Schizosaccharomyces pombe: one gene and its partner. The gene in region 2 interacts genetically with the main gene of each other region. Each region holds a gene or a part of one and is shown on either strand. Other genes may lie near its edges.

Region 1 (4,126 bases), on a different chromosome or scaffold from region 2:
AGAGCTACAGATATTAAAGGGTTTAAAAAAAGGGATTGATTGATTCTTTTATCCGTGTAATGGAAAAGGAGGACTAGGGATTTTTTTTTTGGCAAATTACATGACTTTCAAATATTTTAAATGAATTCTATTAAACTTTTGTGTCGTTCGTGTGTGGTAAAAGGTGAGTTGTTGACGCCAAAAGGAATCGTTAATGTACGCGTTATATCTTGAGAAATGTTTAAGATTTATCCCGACCTATTAATATTAATGATTTGGAAAGGAATTACAAAAGCTACGGAGTCACTTGAAAGGCTTTGAAGTAAGTCGAATTGAAGAATTAGCTTCACCTAAAGGCGGTACGAGTGAAGGTTATAGATTTCGTACTAGGCATTTAAAACTATAAGTATTTCCTTTTTTGTTCAAACACTGACACAACTCGTTTATACTATGTCTCGTAAGTCTTTCTTGAATATATAAATGCTCACTTTCTGTTCGCTCTACTTTTCCTCCTTAATACCTAAGTCTTATACATAAGCTATTACTATAGTTAAAAATTATCTATATTATTCCTAAGGACCCAATTGTGTTAACAATAATATAAGATGCTAAGTCTAGTAGTAGACGGTAACGTTGGTGGAATGCGCCTGACATTGCGAGTTAAAATTAGCAATACCATTAGAGGTAGAATTAACACGAACCGAAGAATTCAAGTAAGCGCTCAACTCGCATAACCCATCTGAAGCACCACTAGGACCATAACCGCAATCAGTAAGGGGGTATACTTGCTGGTTGACGAGATGGCGTACATAGTATTTATTATCAGAACATAAGAAAAGTTCAGTAATTAAGTTTCCTGCGAAGGGAACGAACGAAGAGGTTTTTAATGAGTATGTAAAAATGTTTTTGTCAGTCGGTAGAGGGTGCTCAGGAGTAATGTCGGGGAAAAACCCAAGAGCAGCCTCGACTGGAATAATTTGAGAGTCGTGGGTAAACGCTAAGAATACCTTACGATCGGAAGCATTATTCACACCCTTACGAAGATTATTTGCAAGGTTATTAACATAAGCCCCACCTAATGTGGAAGCCCATTCTGAAGCGGGACCACCCCAATATGCGTAGTCAAGGTCACTGTCATATTCAAAATTCAAAAATTCAGAGGGAGTAAAGAGTGAACAGAAATCGCTGTTATCTCTGAGAGCGATCTCGTATACACAAATATAGTAAAGACTGCGAACATCCGAAACCGTAAGATTATAACCGCTATCAAAGTATTTGTTTAAGCGATTGGCGATAGGCTTGAGAAAAACATTACGCCAACTAGTATGGGCGGCTTCAGTAGTGTTTTCATCAATATTGTTGTCTTCATAAACGGGACAAGAGTAATACATAGCTAAGGAGTTTGCACCCGCAGAATCGTCTTCCGGAAGAACGATGAAGTTGGTTTTGTTCTGCATATCATCGCCAAACATTCCATAACTAAACCATTCTGCAGAGTCGACAACACGTTCTTGAGCAGCAGTATTGATATCGTAGACATCAGTGTCGAAAAGCTCATAGTAGCGCTCAAAAACTTGACGGCCCAAGTCAAAAAGTTCAATTCGACCGCTGCTGGACAACTGGTCGGCATTTTCAGCCTTTATCACAGGAGTCCAATGTTTAACGAAGTAAAGAGGATTTTCAGGATAGCTAAAATTTACCGGAATTGAGCCATTTAGAAGCTTGTTTTGAAAAATATCTATATATTGCGCACTAGAGACATCAGTGGCAGTGTCATCCCCAGTCGGGTTTCGAGATCCATGACGCTGAAGCAAATGAACCTGTTTAATTGCACAAGATTCGGGGAAGGAGGTAGTGGGCCCATTAAAGTAGGGTTCATGATATACACTAATCGTTCCAAGATGGTCCTTGAAATAAAACTCATTTTCAAATGCCTCAAATTGAGATTTACCAGCATGAACGATGGATGCGGCCAAAAGCCATAGAGAAATACCACTTAACTTCATCGAGAAAAAACAATGAATTTATGTAACCCAAGCAGACCCAATAAAACCACAAGAAAGAAATTTACTGTGTATGAATCAACCAACGACCAGCGATTCAATAGCAAAAAAAATAACGATCGAATATTTAAAAGCGGGTTGAAACGAACGGTAGTCTATTCAATCAACGAACTTTGATTATTTGAAGTAGGAAAAGTCTAAAATAAACAGTCAAAAGATGACTATTCTAAGCGCAAGAAGCAGCAGATATTTATATACAATCAATCCGGATATCTGCTAACACTAAGCACCCCGGCTACCACCAAACCAAAGTCTGATTTCGGCACGACTACATTGGAATTAAAAAAAATGAATGAAGTTGCAAACCTGGTGTAGTTCGCTATTAGACTTTAAGATTTTGGACCCACAATTGTTAACTGAAATAACGATGCAAATTACGGACAAAGTGTTACAGTAATATTATGCGATTAATAATACAACGGTGTAATATAATGATATTATTATTACTGAACTTACAAAAATCTGATATTCCAATACTTAATAATTTAATAGAACTAAAGAACGAAGTTTCAGTTGGAAATGATTTTGCAGTCTTTTTGTTTTATATAAATTTATATTATATAATAGCAATGCCTACTCTCTGTGAAATGGAATTATAAATGATAATGTAATACAAAATGAATACTATTGTGTAAAGATGTGCAAACATTGTACGAGCTGCTACATAATATTGCATAATAAAGATATTTTTACATGTATATCACTAATAAGAAGTTGGGCATTGAAGAGTATTAGTCTGCTATCTTTGCAAATTGCTTCTAATATGTATATAAATAGCTTGGGAGAAAATTATTATTAATATTTAGTCTTTAGTAAGATCCAACAATTTAATTTATTAGAGCTACTTGTTTCATGCCGTTCTTAAATGTCCAGAAAAAAGATTTATTCATTCCAATAGAATAAATTAATATAATAAACAAGCATTCCCGCTATTCCAGCGTTAATATAATGGGTTTCATATGCATATTCAAAATGTATATAAAGGGTATACTAGCCACATTGTCATGTGCAGCCCTCGCTTAAGTAATAGCTTAAAACAACTGTGGGGTTATTGAAGAAATGAAAATGTTAAAAACGTAAAAGTTGTTTGTTTGTACGGTTGGACCCTCTAAACACTTTTTTCTATTCTGACATTTAATTAATTTTATGATGAAGATTTTTTTTATGTTCAGTAAGTAAAGCGATGCCTTATAACAATATTACAATGGTAATGGTATAAATAAAGATAAAAATTTTATAGCAATTGCAAGAATGAGTACTTTTGAAAACTCGGTTATTGGAGAATCAAGCTGAAGTGGTTGAAGCGAGCTAGTAATAACTCACTTTAAAGCATTTACCAATTGAAGTCTCACAAGCCTTTTGATATTTCGAAAAGGAAGGAATTATGCTAGGCACTCAGCATAAAAAGAACCATTTTATATGATAAAGGGCAAAGGGAAATTAATTTTCTCTCTATAATAGTAAGTATACTGTTGGATATTTATTCCAAAGGAAATATAGGCGGTGAATTCTACTTTTATCTTCTGATCTCTACGCTTTTATTATCAACCGTAAGAGTCTTTCTTTTATAGTAATAACAATCCAGTTAAAAAGGGATAAAAATACTTATCTTCCTTTTTATATATTACTAATCCTAAAAGAGCTTAGAAATAAGCAATTTTTTATTAACTAGTTCTTTATAAAAGCATATTTATAGAGAAAAGCATTTCATGAAATTATGCTATGTACAGCGAAATACGAAAATAAAATACCTCCTTTGACTAGAACTGTAAGCAACAAAGAGTAAACAATAAAAGCTTGTAGTCATTAGCAAATTAGATTTTTTTATCAGTAGTCTCGATATTAGATGAGATATGTTGACATAATCTGTTTGCCAGTTCTTTCTTTAAATGAGTTTTGTTTATAGAACCGTTTATTTCAACTCATCTTCCAATTTTTATTTTAACATATTTTATTAGCAAATGTAATCGTTGGTAAAATTCGCCTACAACGTCAACATTCAGTCAAAAAGCACACCTAACTACTCCCATCTCTATTACTCCCCGTTCATATTTTAACTTTTTAGAAAATGTCTTTGACATCCG
Region 2 (4,692 bases):
AAAATTGGAGCCGAATGCATCAAGAAAGCTGGCATCAACCGTAATTACTTACGAAAAGTGTAATTTTGAATGAAAACTTATATTTACATCTGGAGAGATTCAAACAATTTAAGCAGCTGAGATATAAGGTCATTTGCATGAGATAACAAATGGTTGTTAATCATATTCATAAATATACGAATATAGAAGGATATCTCTATTTCCGTATGCTAAACGATATGTGTAGAAATTCCTGCGAGTATCGAAAAGTCCAGTTATCTGTATTCAGGAACATATTGCTTCATAGTCCCAAGTGTATCAGATGGAAAAGCTGAACGAAAGTAAACTATTGAAGACATAAAATTGAAATAAAGGTGTAAATAATAAAGGAGAAACATATGCCGGGTAAATTATGCAAACTATGTAGATTTAATTAATTGGCAAGAATCATTTGAACGAAATCTAAAGGAAGCAGTTAGTATAATTAAGTATAGGTAGTTGATTGCCGAAGCCCAGAGTAGTAATAGAGCATACCGTGATAATTAACCATGCCATCTTTTACGGGAACACCCTTTAATAACTCGTCCATTTCTTCGTTGCTGAGTTTTTCACCCAAAGAAGTTAAAACTGATACAATTAGTTTCGCATTTTTTTATCAATCTGAAAAAAGGATAGATCTCTATAAATACATACCATAGCGCAATTCACCCACTCCAATCATGCCAGTGGCATCTTTATCAAACACCTGGAAGCCCTTCACGAATTCCTCTGGGTCACCAGGCATATCAAACCCATTGGGACGATTTAACACTTGAAGGAATTGTTCCATATCGACTACCAATTAGTATTGTCACTTAATGCACGGCTAAGGAGTATAACTCTCCAAACCCATAACAAGAAATCATACCTTCTGCGGGCAAAGTAGATTCAATTTCAGTAATCTCAGCCAGCGTAGGATTTTGTCCACACGCTCTTAAAAGATCACCAATGGACGTTTTGGGGATGCGACCAGTTCCATGGCGGTCAAATAAAGAAAAAGCTATCTTTTCGTTAATAAACATTTTGAAATGATTTCAAAAAGTAGTTATTACCTTGTTTATAAGGTGAATCGTCTGTCGACATGTTTGACTATTCTAAATGGATTGTTAGGATGAAGGTAAGTGTACTAAGTCGACTGTAATCTGTGTACACGCACCTATAAGCCCCATAGCAACCGTTGCCATGATAATGTTTACTGTATAGCGATCTGTTTAGTAATTTACTAAAGAACGTAGAGCTATGTAAACCAGCTTATATGAACAGAATTGTCATTTACTTTGCCAGATTTTAATTTAGAACATCATTCGTATACAGAATATGAATAGTCATACTAATGTCGAGCTACTTGATAAATTATGAAATGGCTGGCGATTTCACTATTTCTAGTGCAATACAAAATACGAGAGTCACCGGAACACGAGAAATACAGTACTGATGCACTTCATAAATTCAATAATCACATCAGAATATCAGATATCATTAACTTGTTAACCTCAAAAGACTAATCTACCGGAAAGCCAACGCTGTCCACCAGACTTCTAATTTTCGGCGTTTGTGTACCAAAAAGGCAGTCACAGATGGTATATCTAAATTTTCGGGCTCACAAAATATGCATTGAGTAAAAGTAAAATAAACGAATCAATATGTTTTTATATGTTGCTTTAATGCGTGGTTTATATAATTGAGCGAATCTTGGAAATAAGTATTTTGATAAGCAATGTATATATTCTCATATCCCAGTGGTACATGACAGTAAACATTGTAGGAAACGTAATTATTAAATATTATATATCAATCCCTTTTAACATTAATTTATGAATTAATAAGAAACCGAAAAAAGGCTTTATTTTATGTTTTTACGCTCAACCTTCAATTTACTTTCAAGTAATTAAATAGCAAGTGAAATCTAGAAATTGATACAAAACAAAGGACTTATAAATTTGAACAAATTTTTAAGCGATGATGTCCAGAAATTGCCTACTACTTGTTTCGCAGTTCCGATGACTTAGAGCCATTATCACTGGATCATCTTATTACTGGACTACATATATTTTTCGTTGGCGCTGCTTCGAACTCAGACAGAACCAACCTTCGTCGTAGTAAAGGACCTTTAATAGTGTTTACTTACTTGGCATTCAACAACTTAGGAAGCACTCTTTGACCTAAATTTATTAATTCTATTTAATAAGCCATGTCTCCGGTAAGTAACCCCAATTGGGCATCCAAAGAATTTTGCTAGTAAAAATTTTCATCAGTCGGAGAAACAGTACTGAAAGTTATCTTATTGAGTTATATAGTAGATTTTACTATGCGGATAACAAATTTGTTTTTGCTGATGAATTTTTAGGCAATTGAAATTTTAAATTTTTTTGTTTCTTTTTTTTGAAATTTTTATTGCTTTATGTTGATTGCTATGTCCAGCATGTTTGGTCTTTTTTTTTAATGTCAATTTGCTAACATTATTCAATTAGGTTTTTTTACCCAGCGGTGAAACTTACGATCAAGAGCATCTTGATGACAACCGTGTCTTAGGTTACAACCCTTTGGTTCCTGCCGCTTTGGTTCAACAAGAGATTCCTGTTTCTGAAACTTCTCGCAAAGTCATCACTGACTCCAGAAAGGAGATTCAAGCTATTCTCAACAAACAAGATGACAGAATTATCGTTGTTGTCGGTCCTTGCTCCATTCATGACCCTAAATTGGCCATGGACTATGCTAAGTTGCTGAAGCCCAAAGCTGACGAGCTTCAGGATGCTTTGTGCGTTGTCATGCGTTGTTATTTGGAGAAGCCCCGTACTACTATCGGATGGAAGGGTTTGGTCAACGACCCTAACTTGGATGGTTCTTTTGCTATCAACAAGGGTATTAGGATGGCTCGTCAAATGTATTGCGACGTTACCAATTTTGGCATTCCTTTGGCCAGTGAGATGTTGGACAACATTTCTCCCCAATTCTTCGCCGACTTACTCAGTTTTGGTGCTATCGGTGCTCGTACTACCGAGTCTCAATTACATCGTGAATTGGCTTCTGCCCTTTCCTTCCCTGTTGGTTTCAAGAATGGTACTGATGGTACTGTTGGTGTGGCGATTGATGCCATTGGTGCTACCGCCCATCCTCACACAATGCTAGGAGTTACTAAACAAGGTCTCGCCGCTATTACCATGACCAGGGGCAACAAGGATACCTTCATCATTTTGCGTGGTGGTAAGAAGGGTCCTAACTATGATGCTGAGCACGTTGCCGCCGTTCGCAAAGATCTTGAGAAGGCCAACCTTCCTCCTCGTATCATGATCGATTGCTCTCATGGCAACTCAAGCAAGAATCATTTGAACCAACCAAAGGTCTCCAAGAGCATCGCCGAACAAATCAGAAATGGCGACTCTTCCATTGTTGGTGTTATGATTGAATCTCATATCAATGAAGGTCGTCAAGATGCTCCAATCCGTCCTGGCGTTAAGGATACTCTCAAGTACGGTGTCAGTATCACTGATGCTTGTGTTAGCTGGGAACAAACTGCTCCAATGCTAGACGATCTTGCTGAAGCTGTCCGTGCTCGCCGTCAAAACCAAAAAAGTAATTAAGACATATAAATGTTATATTCAGCAGTTTTAATTTTTTTAATTTTTGAAACTTATTTTTTCGTAACATACAACAACTGAACAATTTTGGCTTAAATACGGGTTCTATTTATTTTTTTTTGTTTTTTTTTTCTTATATCGTACACAGCTTCTACCAATAACACCTTCGTTTTTAAGAATTGCTGTGCAAGTTTTGCGAAATGTTTGATCGTTTCATATGTTTCTAATCGATCTCCTTTAGCTTGTAATCAGCCATAGGCACATTGGACACAAAATTTAAAACGTCTATGAGTACAGTTGTACAAAGATCAAGTTTATTAGTAAACAATAAAAGAATGCAACATCTATTTAAATAACCTAAATCACAACAAACTATAGCCAGAGATTAATCATAATAAACGAAGTAAAACCGTACAAAAGCAAACCAGAATCCAAAACAAATACATTCCATAAGTTGCTATTTAATTTTTGCGTTCAGCAGTTACACTGACCCATCGATTCGTGGAATCACTATTGGGCTCCTTTTTCATTTCTTCTGCTGCATTTAAGGCCAAATACTTTCTTTGTGCTAGTACCAAATCGCGTAAAAGCTGAGGACTTGGTTTTTTGGCATGCATAAAATTACAAAGGCCACCCCGCTGACATTCCGAAGTTTCGTGTTGCCGGCAACATGCCTCGCGAAAATCAGTTACAGGAGATAACTCGGCGTAGACTGGTCTTTGGGAATACCATCGGGAATTTAAATCATCAATAGCATTTTGGGCAGACTCTTCATACTTGAATCTTACATAAACATTTCCGACTAAGTGATCTCCAACATTGTCACAGACGACTAATTGTTCAACTTCACCGTATTTTGAAAACTCACAAAACATGTCCTCGTAGAATGCATCAAATTGTTCTGCAAGTTCACGCTGCGTGAACTTTTTGCCATTTGGTTCATGAATTGGGTTTTTATACATGTTGGGACATAAGATCGTTTGACTAAAATTTGGTTTGACATGTTTACGAGAGCAGCGTTCCCCATGTCTACAAGCTCCTATTTTATAATAGAATGAGCAATTGACTTTATCTTGCTCAGTACCATAAATACTTG

What was found. Genes that interact genetically often act in the same process or in processes that back each other up.
Region 1: mutations in SPOM_SPAP8A3.07C (region 2) and pho4 together harm fitness more than expected from each alone (negative genetic interaction), as found in Schizosaccharomyces pombe (one large-scale study listed by BioGRID).

The regions. Positions count from the first base shown.
Region 1 is NC_003423.3:444,824-448,949, forward strand, and holds pho4 (thiamine-repressible acid phosphatase Pho4), read right to left. Parts: upstream 2,206-4,126; 5' UTR 1,986-2,205; coding exon 594-1,985; 3' UTR 501-593; downstream 1-500. Other genes in the region: nuclear membrane organization protein Apq12, read left to right, coding at 4,111-4,126. UniProt on the Schizosaccharomyces pombe protein: May dephosphorylate thiamine phosphates.
Region 2 is NC_003424.3:5,325,627-5,330,318, reverse strand, and holds SPOM_SPAP8A3.07C (phospho-2-dehydro-3-deoxyheptonate aldolase), read left to right. Parts: upstream 1-2,094; 5' UTR 2,095-2,209; coding exon 2,210-2,218; exon of another isoform or gene 2,219-2,489; coding exon 2,490-3,599; 3' UTR 3,600-3,933; downstream 3,934-4,692. Other genes in the region: myosin II light chain cdc4, read right to left, coding at 413-441, 514-606, 673-813, 887-1,018, 1,071-1,101; U2 auxiliary factor small subunit Uaf2, read right to left, coding at 4,058-4,692. UniProt on the Schizosaccharomyces pombe protein: Stereospecific condensation of phosphoenolpyruvate (PEP) and D-erythrose-4-phosphate (E4P) giving rise to 3-deoxy-D-arabino-heptulosonate-7-phosphate (DAHP).